3 linked regions of the Caenorhabditis elegans genome follow. The protein of the gene in region 2 interacts with the protein of the main gene of each other region in a pairwise test. Each region holds a gene or a part of one and is shown on either strand. Other genes may lie near its edges.

Region 1 (4,529 bases), on a different chromosome or scaffold from region 2:
CTCATGTTGACTTACCTTGATTCATTGAACTTATGTTCAGAGACTTACCGACAAATGACGGGATGAATCATTTGAGAATTTCTGTAAAGGTGCAACTAGAAGAGAAGTTGTACATTGTTTTTATTCGAAATTAGGCAGAAATTAACCGGCAAATACCGAGGTATATTGCAGGGAGCTATAGTACACATAATAATATCAAATTGACATGATTTATGAGTAGGGAAGTTGATATCATAATTGGTTCAAGTATATCTACTACTACTGACAACTTCGACGAGCCCTGAAACATAAACAGGAAAAATTGGTACTAGATTGTGTAACATACAATTGATGCGTACCTCTTCGAAAATATTTTACCGTAGTCTGAATTTGTACGTGATAAGCTCTCGTCAAAAACAAGAAACTACATACATTGCTGCTCACAACGAAATGCGTTCAATTGAAATTTCTATTTGCCAACCGGGAGCCTCCAGACGGTTAAAACTGTCAAATGATGTGATTCCGTATGACTCATCAATGTCTGACCCAGAAATCCGGTCCTCTCGGAGTTTCTAGTTGTTTTCCACGTGTTCCACGTCACAATTGAATTCACATGGCAACCAGCTGCATTGCATTGGTAAAGTGACCATTAAATTCAATACGAAAAGTAAGCAAATACTTCAATTGTGTGAGTTTTAGTTGACCAACTTTTCATCAGGTTCATGAAGAATGTGAATGAAAAATGTTTTTATTCACTGTGAAGTAGGGGAGATCAAGAGATAAAGAACAGGCTAGATTTGGAGATACGAAAAGCGACAAACATGTGTTTTTATGTAAGCAGTCTTCTCCGAGCATCTTTTTATAGATGTTCGAAATACTTGAAGCGAAAAATTGCGCAACTTGAACTAAACAAGATAATCAGTGCGGTTGCTGCTATTTATGGATGATGATTGCTCGCGAGAGGGGGTCAGCAGGGACGACATTCCTACAAAGGGCATAAGGAGAATGAAAAAGTATGCGGGTAGAAGAAGAGAGCAAATGAGCATTGAGAGCATACTGTATTTAGTGATAAGCAGAGATTTTTGATATCTAAGCTAAGAGTGTCCGGAACATTTGGAAACTAGAAGCATTGGTCATGGAATTTTATTTAGAAAAATTGAAAAAGGAAGTCACACACATAATAAATTATGTGCATCTAAAACGTTAAAAAATCCAAGTATTGTACCGATTTTAATATTTCCAGGTACTGAAAGATTTTGAAAAATAAACAATTTTAGCAGCGTTTTTTGAATTGTCTTTGCTTTACATTGAAAGCTTATATCTCGGTTCTCTTTGGTTTTATCAAAAAATTGTCAACAAACCAAATGCGTGTAAAATGTTTATCTATATATCAATAGTAGAACATTTTTTGATATAACTCATGACAGTCGAGATATGAGTCGTCAAATTAGAGCAGTCGTGGTAAAAACTTTTAAAATCACAAATCAAGAAAGATAATTAAATTATTTTTCGCTGTGTGACCATTTTTATTTCAGCATGCGCTTCAAAAAACTACCAAGTTGCGTTATCATATTCTTTGGTTTACTCCGAAAATTTACTGGTAGCTATATAATTTACCAAAGCTGAACAAATAATCCACTCATTTGGTGAATAGTTCTAAAGTATACAAGCTTCAAGTCATACAGGTTATTTCAAAACTACAGTACCCTTCAAGGCTTTGAGGACCTCCGGTTTCCGAGTATGAATTATGAAATGTTTTTCGTCTAGTCCTCATTGTCTCAATCACTATCTCCAGGCAAAAAGATGAGATCTCTTGAGGGTACTGGACTCTCCCTCAATCCTCCGATTCAAGGAGTTGTTTCGAACGCTTAAGCACTCCTGGCTCCGCGCGGGGCGGAGTCGAAGTGTGCCGCGACCGACCGACCGCCGGCGCCTTCCTCCCCATTACCCCCACCCATCTCCCGCCGCTATATAAAAGGTACGCAGTGCCATCTGGACAGAATACAGAGCCTTCGAGTTCTAGTCCTTCTCCTTCTTTTACCCAACTCATTATTCCCCACATTTTTGTTTCAATGGCAGCCCGCAGAGCAGCTTCGATTCTTCTTATCGCCGTTCTGGCCCTCTCCAGTACCTTCGTCTTCGCTGACGAAGAGACTGTCAAGGTAAATTTCTTTTTTAAATACTACTTTTGTACTTTTGAACATTTATTTAAGCATTCAGTCATACTTTCCCTCTTTTATGCTCACTATTATTTTCGTGTTTTCTGTGTACCTAACCATTAGGACACGGCGCGGATGTGGGTATTGAATGCACAATGTGCATGAATAGGAATAATGAATAGGCTTTAGGAACAAGCTGGTTATGATCATGATCTTATTGATCATGCCCAATTGAAGCATAGCGTCTAGTACATCAGGATCCAAATTTCAGCAATCATTTGTTTAAATAACTTTTCAATTTTAACTATGATGCTTCCTTATGACTGTCTAGACTCTTATTTCATTTATTCCCGTCATTGGCCATTCCTTGAGACCTCACTAATACAAAGTGAAGTGGTCATTTCAAGGGGTCAGCTGGCTTCTTCTCCTGCTCTTTCCCCTCCGATAAAAACAGGAAAAATGATAGTGTAAACAAAGGGCGCATGAAGATTCTCTCCGCGATTGCCCCCCAGAGTGTGCGCGCAAAAATCTAAGCACACTGTCTTTCCTTACGGTCAAACAAAAGAGCCCTAAATAACTGCAGAACGAGACCGGATTGGCGTTGTCGCGTGCCAAGAGACAGTGCTGTTCATCCAACTCCAACTCATGCTGCGGAAACAACAACAACGTGCAATGCATCCCAGTTTGTCTGCAACAGTGCCAGAGCTCATGCCAAACATCCCAATGCATCCAACAATGTCAGCCAGCTTGTAACCAACAGTGCGGAGGAAACAACCAAGTCATCCTTCTTCCACAAACCAACAACTGCAACCAATGCCAACAACAATGCATCAGCTCCTGTGCCACCCCAATCTGTGCTCAATCCTGCAACAACCAATGCTCCAGCTCTTGCGGAAACTCTGCTCCACAAATTGTCGTTCTCCAACCACAACAGAACCAATGTGGATCATGCCAGTCTTCCTGCCAACAGACTTGCCCAACATGCAACTGCCAATCTGCTTGTGCTCCAGCCTGTGGAGGAAACAACAACAATCAGCAAATCATCGTTGTTCAACAGGACAACTCATGCTCATCCAACTGTAACAACCAGTGCTCCAGCTCCTGCAGCACCCCAATCTGCATTCAGTCCTGCCAATCCTCCTGCCAACAGGCCTGCCAGCCAACCTGCCAGCCACAATGCATGCCATCCTGCTCGTCTAGCTGCACATCCAACCAGGCTCCAATCGTCATCGTCGCTCAACAAGGAGACTCATGCTCCAACTCGTGCTCCAACCAGTGCCAGTCTGCCTGCCCAACTCCAATCTGTGTCCAACAGTGCAACTCTCAATGTCAATCCCAGTGCTCGAACTCTTGCTCCGGAAACAGCTGCAACCAACAACAGGTAATAATATTGATTTTCCATTAATTCATGAATCAATATTACAGGTCATTGTCCTCCAACAACAAGACAACTGCCAGAATCAATGTCAATCTTCCTGCATGAACACTTGCCAATCATCGGCTACCGTTCTTCAATGCCAGCCAATTTGCCAACAAACCTGCCAGAATACCTGTCAACAAGCCGCTCAAATCGTTGTTCCATGCCAATCGAGCTCTTCTGGATGTGGATGCTCATCTGGATATTCTCAATGCGGTGGATCATGCTGCCGTCGTCGTTAAGCATCCCCTTCCCTGAATTCTATGAACGAATTCTTACCGTATCCGCGTTTTCTATGCGACAACTTCTGTTTTCGTTTCCCCATCCCACTTCTCACATAACTTTTATTATGACATTGTCTGTAAATAAGTGGTAGCCATGTGAGGTGTCTAATTATTTTATTATTGTTCCCTTCTTTTTCATGATGTTTCATTGTCCTTGAGTTTCGACAATAAATTATTCTAATTTAAGAATTATACAAGAAATGTTTTCATTCGGCAAAACATAAAATAAAAAATCACATATATTCACAGTAATCAATCATCATATAATAAATTGTATTGTTTAGTCCTGTTTGAATAGTCCTCGAGCTGAGCGACGAAGGGTTGAGCGACGCTGAAAAAAAAATTTAAAAAGAAGAAAAACAAATGTATCCAAATTAACAGTTTTTCTAAATTTATTATTGATTTTATTCCGAATTTTGCAAATATAAACGAAGTTACTGAAACAAATTCGAATTTTCGACAGAAGTTTCAAAATTTTCGCGTTTTTTATTCATTGGTTTCTCTTGATTTTTTCCTTGATCTTTTTTAATTGTCACCCAAAAAAAAGTCGTCGAAATTTCAAAATTAGCCTAGAAATGAGTAATGTAGCATTAGTTTCAACTCTTTTTTTTCGGAAAACTTTCTGAAAAAATGACAAAGTATCGAATCAAACACTAAAGAATTTTTCAATTAATGAATGAAAATTCCATA
Region 2 (4,686 bases):
CATTATTTTTTCAAGAGAGACGGAGAAAGATAAATTTCCATGGCAACATTGTCAGCGCACGAAGATTATACAACCAAGCATAGAGATTGACGAAAGATTTGTTTCCTCTATTTTTATTCACAGTTGAACAAAAATTGTGCATGTTGCTGTAGAAATGGACAGATTATGGAACTATTAGATGAAACGCAGACTGTAGAAAAATAAAAATGGCCCGAAAATAAAAATCAGTAAATATGTTTAACTGTATCTGAAACAAAAAATAAATGATATGTTGAAAAATTTGCCATTAATGTTTTATTAAACCAATTTCAGCCGTATTCTATTATGGCACGAAAAACTAATTTCCCGAGTGTTCACAGGATTGCAAGGAAAAGTTCGATGCCGACCAACAAAACATTAATTTTCGTTATAACTCAAATTCGGTAGGATATTCGAAGATTTGAACATTATTTTTCAAACATATCCATTATATCCAATTCTCGAATTTTTTGGGTATGGCATCACAAAGTCATAGTCCGTTTCTGCGTTTTTCACTGTTTGGAATTGTAACTTTAAAAATGTATCATTTTGTGTCTGATTATTTTTTGCAACTCTTAAAAATTCTTACTTACTAGTTTTGCAATGTAATAATGTGTTATACAAATTACAAATGATATCTAAATAATTATATAATTTTAAATGTATAGAAAACTTTTACTTGTCTCAACATGACAATTTTGTTAGTCAAGCTTCAGTTTCCAGTCAAATAAAACATATCACACTAACAGAAACATTTTGGATAAGTTTTTGATTTAAAATTAAATTTTTATCTTTAATTTGTCATTGTCGTTTTCTCGGGAAATATAGTGTTTATCAAAATTAGAATGTGCGTTTAACTAAAATGTAGGATTTCATCATATTTGTAATTGAGCATTTAATAAGATGTTTTCTTGTGTCTTGAAATAAATTCAGATGTATGAAAAAAACTGTATTCGTTCAGATGACTTAACGTCCTTTCAGAGCAAATATTTTCGGGTACTGGCAGACTGTAAACATTAAAAACATCGACATTCTTTTTCTCTTTGTCACTTTAGCAAATATCATCTGCTATAATTTCCACTGCAAGTGCAATGCTTGTTACCTCCCAACTGGAACACTGACAGGTTAAAAAACTATAAAACGCTTGCTTCAAACAGCATGGAATTCAGTTGGAATATAGACCCATTTCTCTCCCATAATTTTAGTTTAATTTTGAACTTATGTTTCCTTTTCTGACATTAAAATATGTTCTCATGTTCTAAGCGTGTCTAAATGGAAGTCCCCCAATAAGTCACAAAAAATTATTATGCTATCATGTAATGTGTCCGGCAAAGAATCATTTATAAATTTCTCTGCGTTTATCAAAATTAAACGTGCTCCAAAAAGTGTGCTGCGTGTCACATACTATCATACCGGTCGTTTCGAAATTGTTCTCTACCCTCACTTTCCCCTTGTCGTCGTGGTTTATCATCTTACATCAAATGGCAGTTATCATCGGCGCCGTGTTTGCCGTTTGTAGCAGAGTTAAGAGCCCGACTGCTTTTTGAAACCAATCTTCGCGTTTTACTTTTTTTCGCAACAATAATAATAATAATAATGATCTAACAACCTTTTCAAATTTAATTCTCAGCTATTTTAGGTTACCTATTGTTCGTGGATTGGAAAAAAGAACCGAAGAAAAAATGATGGAGACTAGGAATGCCAGTGATAGTAAGTATGACATTAACACATTTCCCAATTCCAGTTTTAAAAAGGTTTGATGGACCAAGTCTTTTCTGCTGTCACGCTTCCTGCTGTTGGACAAACAACTACCATCATGGAGCATCATCAAGAATCTCACACTGTTTTTCACCAAGTAAGAAAATTTTTGAACAGTTATTTTGTTGATATTAGTTATTTTATTGAATTTCAGGAGAGTCATCATGTTGAATCTCACCACGAGCATATGGAATTCTCCTCTTCTGGGGTAAGCAAATTTTTATTTACATTGTAAAGATTACTTTAACTTCAATTATAATCTGATTTTTTTTACTTCTGATTTGATAACTTATCAATTTTTTGCTCATCAAAACTGAAAATCAGTTGGTGCTCTTTGATTTCCGTGTTCGAAAAAGAATGACAGTATCGATTGATTTAAGAACAATTTTGTTGGAAAATGAACAAAAAATATTTTTTCAGGTTATCGTAGGAAACGTTGTTGGTCATGATGCCGTTATTCAACGTCGTCCAACTGTGGATACTGAAGATCAGCGGTCGGAGGTATATATTAAAATTAATCTTTCATTATTTTGAAAAAGAGCATTTATTTAGGTGTCCGCAATGTCAAAAGCCACATCAGTTTCTGTTCATTCTAGCGTTTCTCAAAAATCCGCTCAGGTATTTCAGTTCGAACAATGAAAACTATAAACGCCTTTTTCAGCACTACGATCTTCCACCTATCCCACAGTACGACATGCCTCCGATTGTTGTTGGGGAAGCTGTTGTTGGAAAGGCACCATCAGTTGCTTCTTCCAGATCAGGGTATATCTTAAGCTCACTCTACTGAAGAAATAATAAATAATTTTCACACACCTACAGGTCCCACCATTCCGTCGCTTCGCATCATTCGCATCACTCCCAACATTCCCATCATTCCGCTTTGACTCATGACAGCGAGTCGACTATTTCCGAGGGAACTCTTGTGAATGAGCCGATCGTCAGTTTTACAAAGATTAAAAAACAATTTATTCATGATTTTTCAGGTGGTCGGAGCACATGTTGCATCTGAAGCTCCAACCCCACTTGCTGTCGGACAATCATTCGAGCATGACGCAGTGATTGAGCAATTTAAAAATCTTCATGGAAGAGTAAATAAACATTTTCAAACTTAAAACACCTATAATTTCTTTTTCAGGATCAATCAGTGGTTTCCAGCATTGTTCCTGCCTCAGTTCACATTCAAAGTGACAGCGAGGACTCTATTGCTCCATCAAAGTTGACTCACTCGATTGCTGTTGTACGTTTTTAAATGACATATCAGTTAAACTGTGAATTGCTTTCAGGGAGGAGTTGTCGATTCTCACAATGGTGTCAATGTTTTGCACAGAAGTCACGAAGTTGAATTTGTGGACTTTGCTGCTCCAGCTTACTACCAACCACCATCAGTTGTCGTAAGTGTCAAGAGTTTGTGTTTTTTATTAATACAGCTTTGTTCAGGGCGCTTTTGATGCTCATAGCGAGGATTCGTTTGGTTTTGAGAAGGTGGAATATGTGGACACTCATGAGGACCATCACCACAAGTTGGAGGAACAAGTTCCGCAAGTTGTTCATGAACATGTTATTGAACAGCATTACGAGCCTTATCAAATCGTCCATGAGAACCATAATGTGTTATCGGTCGATTTCGGAGAGGATCAACACTCCATAACCCATCATGATCATGACCACCACCACCACCACCATGAATCCCATGTTACCCATACCTTCACCTCCAATGTGAAACAGTCCCGTTCTAACACTGCCTCCACTTACCAAAGTCGCCAAATGTTAGCACATAATGTTGGGCCTAAAATTACTGAGGAGTTGCGTCCGGCTGCGGTGCTGGAGGAGGAAGAGGTTGAGGTTAGGCCCCCAGTGATGGCCTACGTGGCTCCAATCCCAGTTAAGCCACCACGTACCCACGAAGAGAGTCATATCTATAACGCGTACGAAACGGAGATTCATCAGCAAAAGGATATCGTCAAGTCTACTACTGTTGTTCTGGAAGATGTCCGCTCAGGATCTGAAGGTATTCATATCCGAGCGGATAATTCTTCATCTGTTGATATTATAGGTGTTAGCTCCCTTCGCAGAAAGTTTGAGCATGGTGCTCCACCACCATTGTCGCCTGTCTTTGAAATGAAGAAGCATGAGCACCACAAGCATCTTGATCAACACCATCACCACAAACACCAAGACGTCGTCGTTGAGCAAACGCAATTCCAGGTCGGCGATAACTTCATCTCTTCTTCTTCTTCTAAAGCAATAGAGAATCATTATGACGTTCCTTTCGATTCTTATGAGATAGTTGATAAATCTGAAAACACTAAAAAATCCTCATCCTCTTACCACGCCTCCTCCTCCTACCACAAGCAAGCACCACCGCTGCCACTAGTCGATTACCATGTATATGACACGCCAACTGTTGAACATTTCTCCCATTCGCCAGCTTTCTATACTGACGATCAGCGCCACCATTATGTTCCCCAAATCAAGGTGATAACAGAGTATCGACACATCAACCCTCGTCATCATTACGTGGAAAGACAAATTAGAAAAGCTGATGGAAGTGCGATTGCACAAAGTCCGCAAGTTCAAACGATTGACTATTTTAAAGAAATCAACAGGGCTCACCATTTTGTCCCATCTACGCCACCATCGCTGTTTAACAACAAGCGAGAAAGTTTCCACCATCACAGCTTTATTCCAAACAGTTTGGAAGCTGAAAGAAAGAGTCGTAGTGTTGAAAGAGCGCACCATTATCTCCCAGATTCACCAGCGAATGTGAAAGATCAGAGAAAAATAATCAGGGAACATCATTATGTTCCTCTTGAGAAACGCTCTCAATCGTTGGATTTAAAAGTAGTTCATCCTGAACATCACTATGTTCCACTTGTCAGAAAAACAACGGAGGATCATCAACAAAAAGTG
Region 3 (4,927 bases), on a different chromosome or scaffold from region 2:
AGATTGGACATCACTGGTTGAAATTTAAACTGAAAAACTGAAAAAAAGAGAAACTGAAACTGACTGAACTGACACAAAACTGGACAAACTAGAACTAAAGTTCACTGCAAGAAAAAGCACTGCACAGAATTTCAGATTTTCACGGTCCTACAAGAAGACGATGAAAATCTGCACCCAGAACCCCCAATAAAAGTCCTACGATATATTTGGCACAGTGCCAAACCGACGGCATATCATCTCCAATCGTTTCGTAGCAAGTTCCCAGTGGGTAGCACGATGAGGTGCTCGTCGAGCAAGAGCTGGATGTCGAGCAACTCGGCAGACACGGCGGCTGCTCTTTTTGGTTCTTTTTCTGATATTGCTGAAGCCACGTTTTGGGACTCAGTTGACCATGGTCACCAAGTCCCAAATTAAGATTCTTGATCGACAACAGTTTGGCGGATTAGACGAAGGGAGCTTCGGGTAGAAGATAGAACAAGTGGGGGTGACAAAGTGAAGCAGCAACTAGGCTTCAAGAGTAGATGCTGGGGCGGGCGGTGGCTCAACGAAGGGAAGGGAGCCACCAAAATGTGGGCGTGGCCTATTTCTCAAGGGGAAGAGGCTACTATTGTTTTGACACTTGGCCACTTGCCAGCTGGATTGAAGTTGGAAAACGAAAGAAAAATACACATAAAGTGTGATGTGACTTTTTGTTGAAAAAAACGTTTTTTGGAAAGTTGAGTTGAGAGTAAAGTTCTCATGTCAACTTTCATGAATCTTGGCAGAATACAGCTATACGTCACTATTTGTGGCGCAAAGTTCAAAAGTTTAAATCAGCTACCAACTAGGTTCAAAATGTTCATGGCGTTAGAGCAAGATAGAAGAAAGTTATGTAAGTTGTTCATAAATTATATTATCCAGTTGTGTAACAATCCGATTTTTTGAGGCAAAATAACGGTAAATGGTCTCGACGCGATCGAAAAATTTTCACTTGCGCATTTAAAGAGTTCGTTCCGCAATTTTTATCGACTTTGCTCTTAAAATTTGGCAGTTAAGGAGAAAATAGCATTAAGAACAGGAAGCCGAAACTATTAAACTTTTAATGACGCATATTCCATTGCTCAGAAAATTTTCAGTCGTGTCGAGGCGTAATTTTTGACCAAAAATGAAATTGTTTCGCAACTTGGTAATAGGCAGTTGCTAACAATCATGGGGTTCGTTTGTGATTATTAATAATAGTTCAAAAACTGTTTCCAGATTTCCAAATGCCCGCTGCAAAAACCTAGTTCATGCTCATGGGCTAATAAATATAAAATTATTCAATTCCAACAAATTCTCACTTTTTCTTGTTGCCAATAGAGCGCAGATTCTGCCACCCACAATGAAAAACTGACACTAATCTTGAAATAGGAGAAAATAAACAAAAAGAAGAGGGGGAAATCCTCCTTGTCTTTTCTTTTCCTGCTCAATTTTTCTCTGCCTGATATTGGATTACACCCGGAATTTCCGTTTCGCATCTGATTTTGACTTTGTTGCAACAAGTTGCACACACACACACCGGATTAAAGCCTAAAGTTTCCCGGAGCACAGAGCATAAAACAATTTGTCTACGTCAAATAAATTTTTGGAGAAAAAGAAAAATGAGCATGAATCAAAGGGTAAACTAACAAAAGGGGGAGTGAGAAATCTAAGCGAGTAAGAGAGCAAAAGGACATAAAATGTTTATGGAAATAAGGGGAGGCGGATGTGTATGTCTATCTGTGTCAGTTTTGGCTTCAGTTAAAAAAAGAAAAGTTGAAGCAAAAATATTTGAATTAATTTGAATTTCCACCGACTCAATTGTACTTTTTCTGCAAAAGAGGGGGAAGATTGTGCTAACGGTTCGTGCACATAAAGGCTTTTAGATTTATGACGTGGTTCCTATGAGCCCCGGGTCACATAACCTAACAAGAGGAGGATAAGCTCCTATGGGAGCTCGGCTCGAACTAAAAATAGCAACTTGAACTGGGAAGTGGATATTTTGAGAAAAAAAAGTTTAAAATGAAGTGAAGATTTGTTTGAAAGTGGAGAATATTAGAATGTATGGAGGGTGTAAACATCGCATAGCATGTTTTTTTTTCCAATTACAGTTCATATTCTATTTGCAGCTTTTTGTTCTACTTTGACAGCGAAATAAGTATTCCAGCACAAAACAAACTTTGAAGCTCATATATCTCCCTAAAAATATCACTGAAATTTTTATAATTTCACAATCAGACAAAAAAAAACATGTTTTCAATTTACAATGTGTTCTTTGTAACTTCTTTACAATTCATAAGCTAGCTGAAATTTCTTCTTATTACTCCCATTCTTTCTATTTACATAATTTCCAGAAATGCTTCAAGCGTACATTTTCAGACCAAGCTTTCTCCACTTATGAAAATTCAATCTTTGATGTCCTTTTTACCACCACCCCCACACTAAATTACAATTGTCTCTTGTTCGAGCACATAAAAAGCTCCATCGTGCTTCTTCAAGATTCAAACCTCAATTTTATGGTTCACCAAGTCGGCTATTTGTGTTAATAAGGGGGTGGCATTTCCGAGAAGACTGTAATGGGGTAGAACAGAACAACACGCAATGTTTTTTGTGTTAGAATTTCCAAATTAGGAGGAAACTGTCATTTTTGAAACTCAAAAATGAAACAAAAAACAGAATCACATGCACACAAAAAAAACAAAAACCGGAAAGATTGCATGATCGAAAAAAAAAACTTACGAAGGATTTCGGCTCGGCCATGATGATCTCTCGAAGATAAACGGGGAGTCGAACGGTGGTCCTGAAAAAATTGGGAATTGAAATATTTTATGATATTTTTCATAGCTGTTAAGGAAAGTGAGAAGTTGTACAGAAGTTGGAAAATTACATAATTATTTGCTCTAAAAAATTTTCGTTTGTACCAACATACCCATGACCTCTCTTTTTCTTTACAGTACCATTAGTAGTAGGTTCTGTAACTGCTAGACTTTTCGATCTTCGTCGAAACATTTTTATAGGAGAGAATAGTTCAAATTTGGCGATGTTCTCCCCTATGTGAGATGTACAATATTTGTGTTGGTTTTGAAGAAGAGGTTATGGCTACGCTGGTATCAAAACTATATTTGAACATCATAAACGTTTTCGAAAGAGTTTCGAGAACTAAAAGGAAGATTAAACAATCCGAGGTTTTGTGTGAAGAAAAATAGTATATATTTGATTGAATTGTTACAGAGAATGGAAGGAAGAAAGAATGTGATAGATTGTAGAAAAAGAATAGGCGGGAAATAAAAGTGTGAGTCATGGAATTATGGGAATGAATTCCCGTGGATCGTTTTGGATGCAGGGAAAATTATAAATGATTTGATTTGGTTGGTTGCGAGAAATGTTATAAAATTATACCAGTTGTTGGAATCTGAATTTTTCATGCAAAAAATGATTTTGGAAGTTGTCAATTTGTCAGAAAGCGGCTGAACCGTAGCTCGAACTATTTTCGATTAGTTTTAAGGTTTTAAAACAGGGATAAAGTGTTATCAAGACTATTACTTCTGAGAATCTGTATGACTTGGAGTTTTACGAGAAATCCTTATTGGGAAAATTTGACAAAGTGGGCATAAAGATTGAGCTTCTAAATTAATCAAGTGAAACAAACTACAAAAAAAAACAAAAATATATAAAATTGAACAACCAAAACTCACATAATTCCAACTAAATTCAAGTTAACACCGACAAGAGTCGAAATATCAGAAACAACACAAGAAATAAAAATCAATCAAAACTGATAAATTGTGAGGTTAACAGGTGGCGAGGGGTTTTTCCCACTGCTGCTGATCTTTTTTATTTACTTCCCGCACGTTTCATTTTTTTGAACTCAGAGACAAAAATTATTGGGTGTGGAAAATGAGATACGCAGGAGGGATAAGGAGAGAGTTGGACAAATAATTATATGTCATTAGATTTTGAAATTAATTTGGATTTCGAAAGTGATTTGGAAAACCTACGTTTTTTTTAGGCAGAGTTAGTATGCTCACGCTAGTAGAAGTGCTTGCTGGAACCATGGTTTACAGTTTAAAAGAAGTGAAAAAATTTCAAAAAGTTTTTACTTTAAACAAAAACGCAATCATCCAGATTGCCGCAAAAAATACAATGTACAGCTTTTTTTACACAAACAATTTTTTCAGAAAAATCCAGATGCAAATTTGCAAGAGAACTGTAAAAACTGCACATTTCAGTCACTATTTATACCAACTGTATACATATAGTTGGTGAGAAGAAAAGAGAAAGACAAAAAATATATATACAACATAATGTATCTTCTCACTTTTTTTGCAATTTCTTTCCTAGCTACTACTCCACCTCTTCCTCCTACTCTTCTATCCTTGCTCTCCGATCACTCATTTGCCTCTTTTTCATGCTTTTCTTTTCCATCACTCAAAAATTTCAAAAAAAAAAACGTTAACGAAGAACATATGACTCAATTGAGGTCTTGGATAGTGAGTGAGAAAAGATATCCGATATGTTGCAGTTGTCGTTTTTTTTTTTCTTTTAGGTTTTAATTTCTAAAGGAAAAAACTCTTACGTTTTTCACATTTTTCGATGTTTCTGAATTTTAAAAACTAGAGTGTGATAGTAGAATTTCAGCGGGAAGGTTGAAAATGAACAATAGAAAAGAAAAATAATTGAATGTGATTAACAGAAAAAGAAAGAAAAATACATAAAAACCAAGTATAAGCATTTTGAGACAATGACTCACTACAACTTATTTATTATTTTCTATTCCAATATTTTGAAATTTAGTAGATTTTTTTTTCCGAATTTTAAAATAAACAACAATCAGGGATCGACTTTTGCTATTTGGCCTCGAAAAAAACTCGGTCATCGATTTATATTTGATATTTTATTCTTAAACTTGAAGATCTTTCAAAATTTTAAA

Evidence for each region.
Region 1: the proteins of hpo-34 (region 2) and abu-14 interact in a two-hybrid assay, tested with the Caenorhabditis elegans proteins (2 studies listed by BioGRID).
Region 3: the proteins of hpo-34 (region 2) and lec-3 interact in a two-hybrid assay, tested with the Caenorhabditis elegans proteins (2 studies listed by BioGRID).

What each region holds. Positions count from the first base shown.
Region 1 is NC_003280.10:9,224,680-9,229,208, reverse strand, and holds abu-14 (Activated in Blocked Unfolded protein response), read left to right. Parts: upstream 1-1,994; 5' UTR 1,995-2,051; coding exon 2,052-2,141; intron 2,142-2,721; coding exon 2,722-3,519; intron 3,520-3,563; coding exon 3,564-3,797; 3' UTR 3,798-4,023; downstream 4,024-4,529. Other genes in the region: ZK1067.3 (uncharacterized protein), read right to left, coding at 4,120-4,170.
Region 2 is NC_003284.9:11,516,032-11,520,717, reverse strand, and holds the start of hpo-34 (ZM domain-containing protein), read left to right. Parts: upstream 1-1,651; 5' UTR 1,652-1,700; coding exon 1,701-1,728; intron 1,729-1,772; coding exon 1,773-1,873; intron 1,874-1,930; coding exon 1,931-1,984; intron 1,985-2,196; coding exon 2,197-2,277; intron 2,278-2,328; coding exon 2,329-2,394; intron 2,395-2,437; coding exon 2,438-2,538; intron 2,539-2,595; coding exon 2,596-2,713; intron 2,714-2,759; coding exon 2,760-2,864; intron 2,865-2,911; coding exon 2,912-3,013; intron 3,014-3,059; coding exon 3,060-3,167; intron 3,168-3,213; coding exon 3,214-4,686.
Region 3 is NC_003280.10:9,989,239-9,994,165, reverse strand, and holds the start of lec-3 (Galectin), read right to left. Parts: upstream 3,007-4,927; coding exon 2,927-3,006; intron 2,804-2,926; exon of another isoform or gene 2,798-2,803; coding exon 2,737-2,797; intron 1,910-2,736; exon of another isoform or gene 1,829-1,909; intron 1,712-1,828; exon of another isoform or gene 1,591-1,711; intron 547-1,590; exon of another isoform or gene 233-546; coding exon of another isoform or gene 200-232; intron 24-199; exon of another isoform or gene 1-23. UniProt on the Caenorhabditis elegans protein: Binds galactose.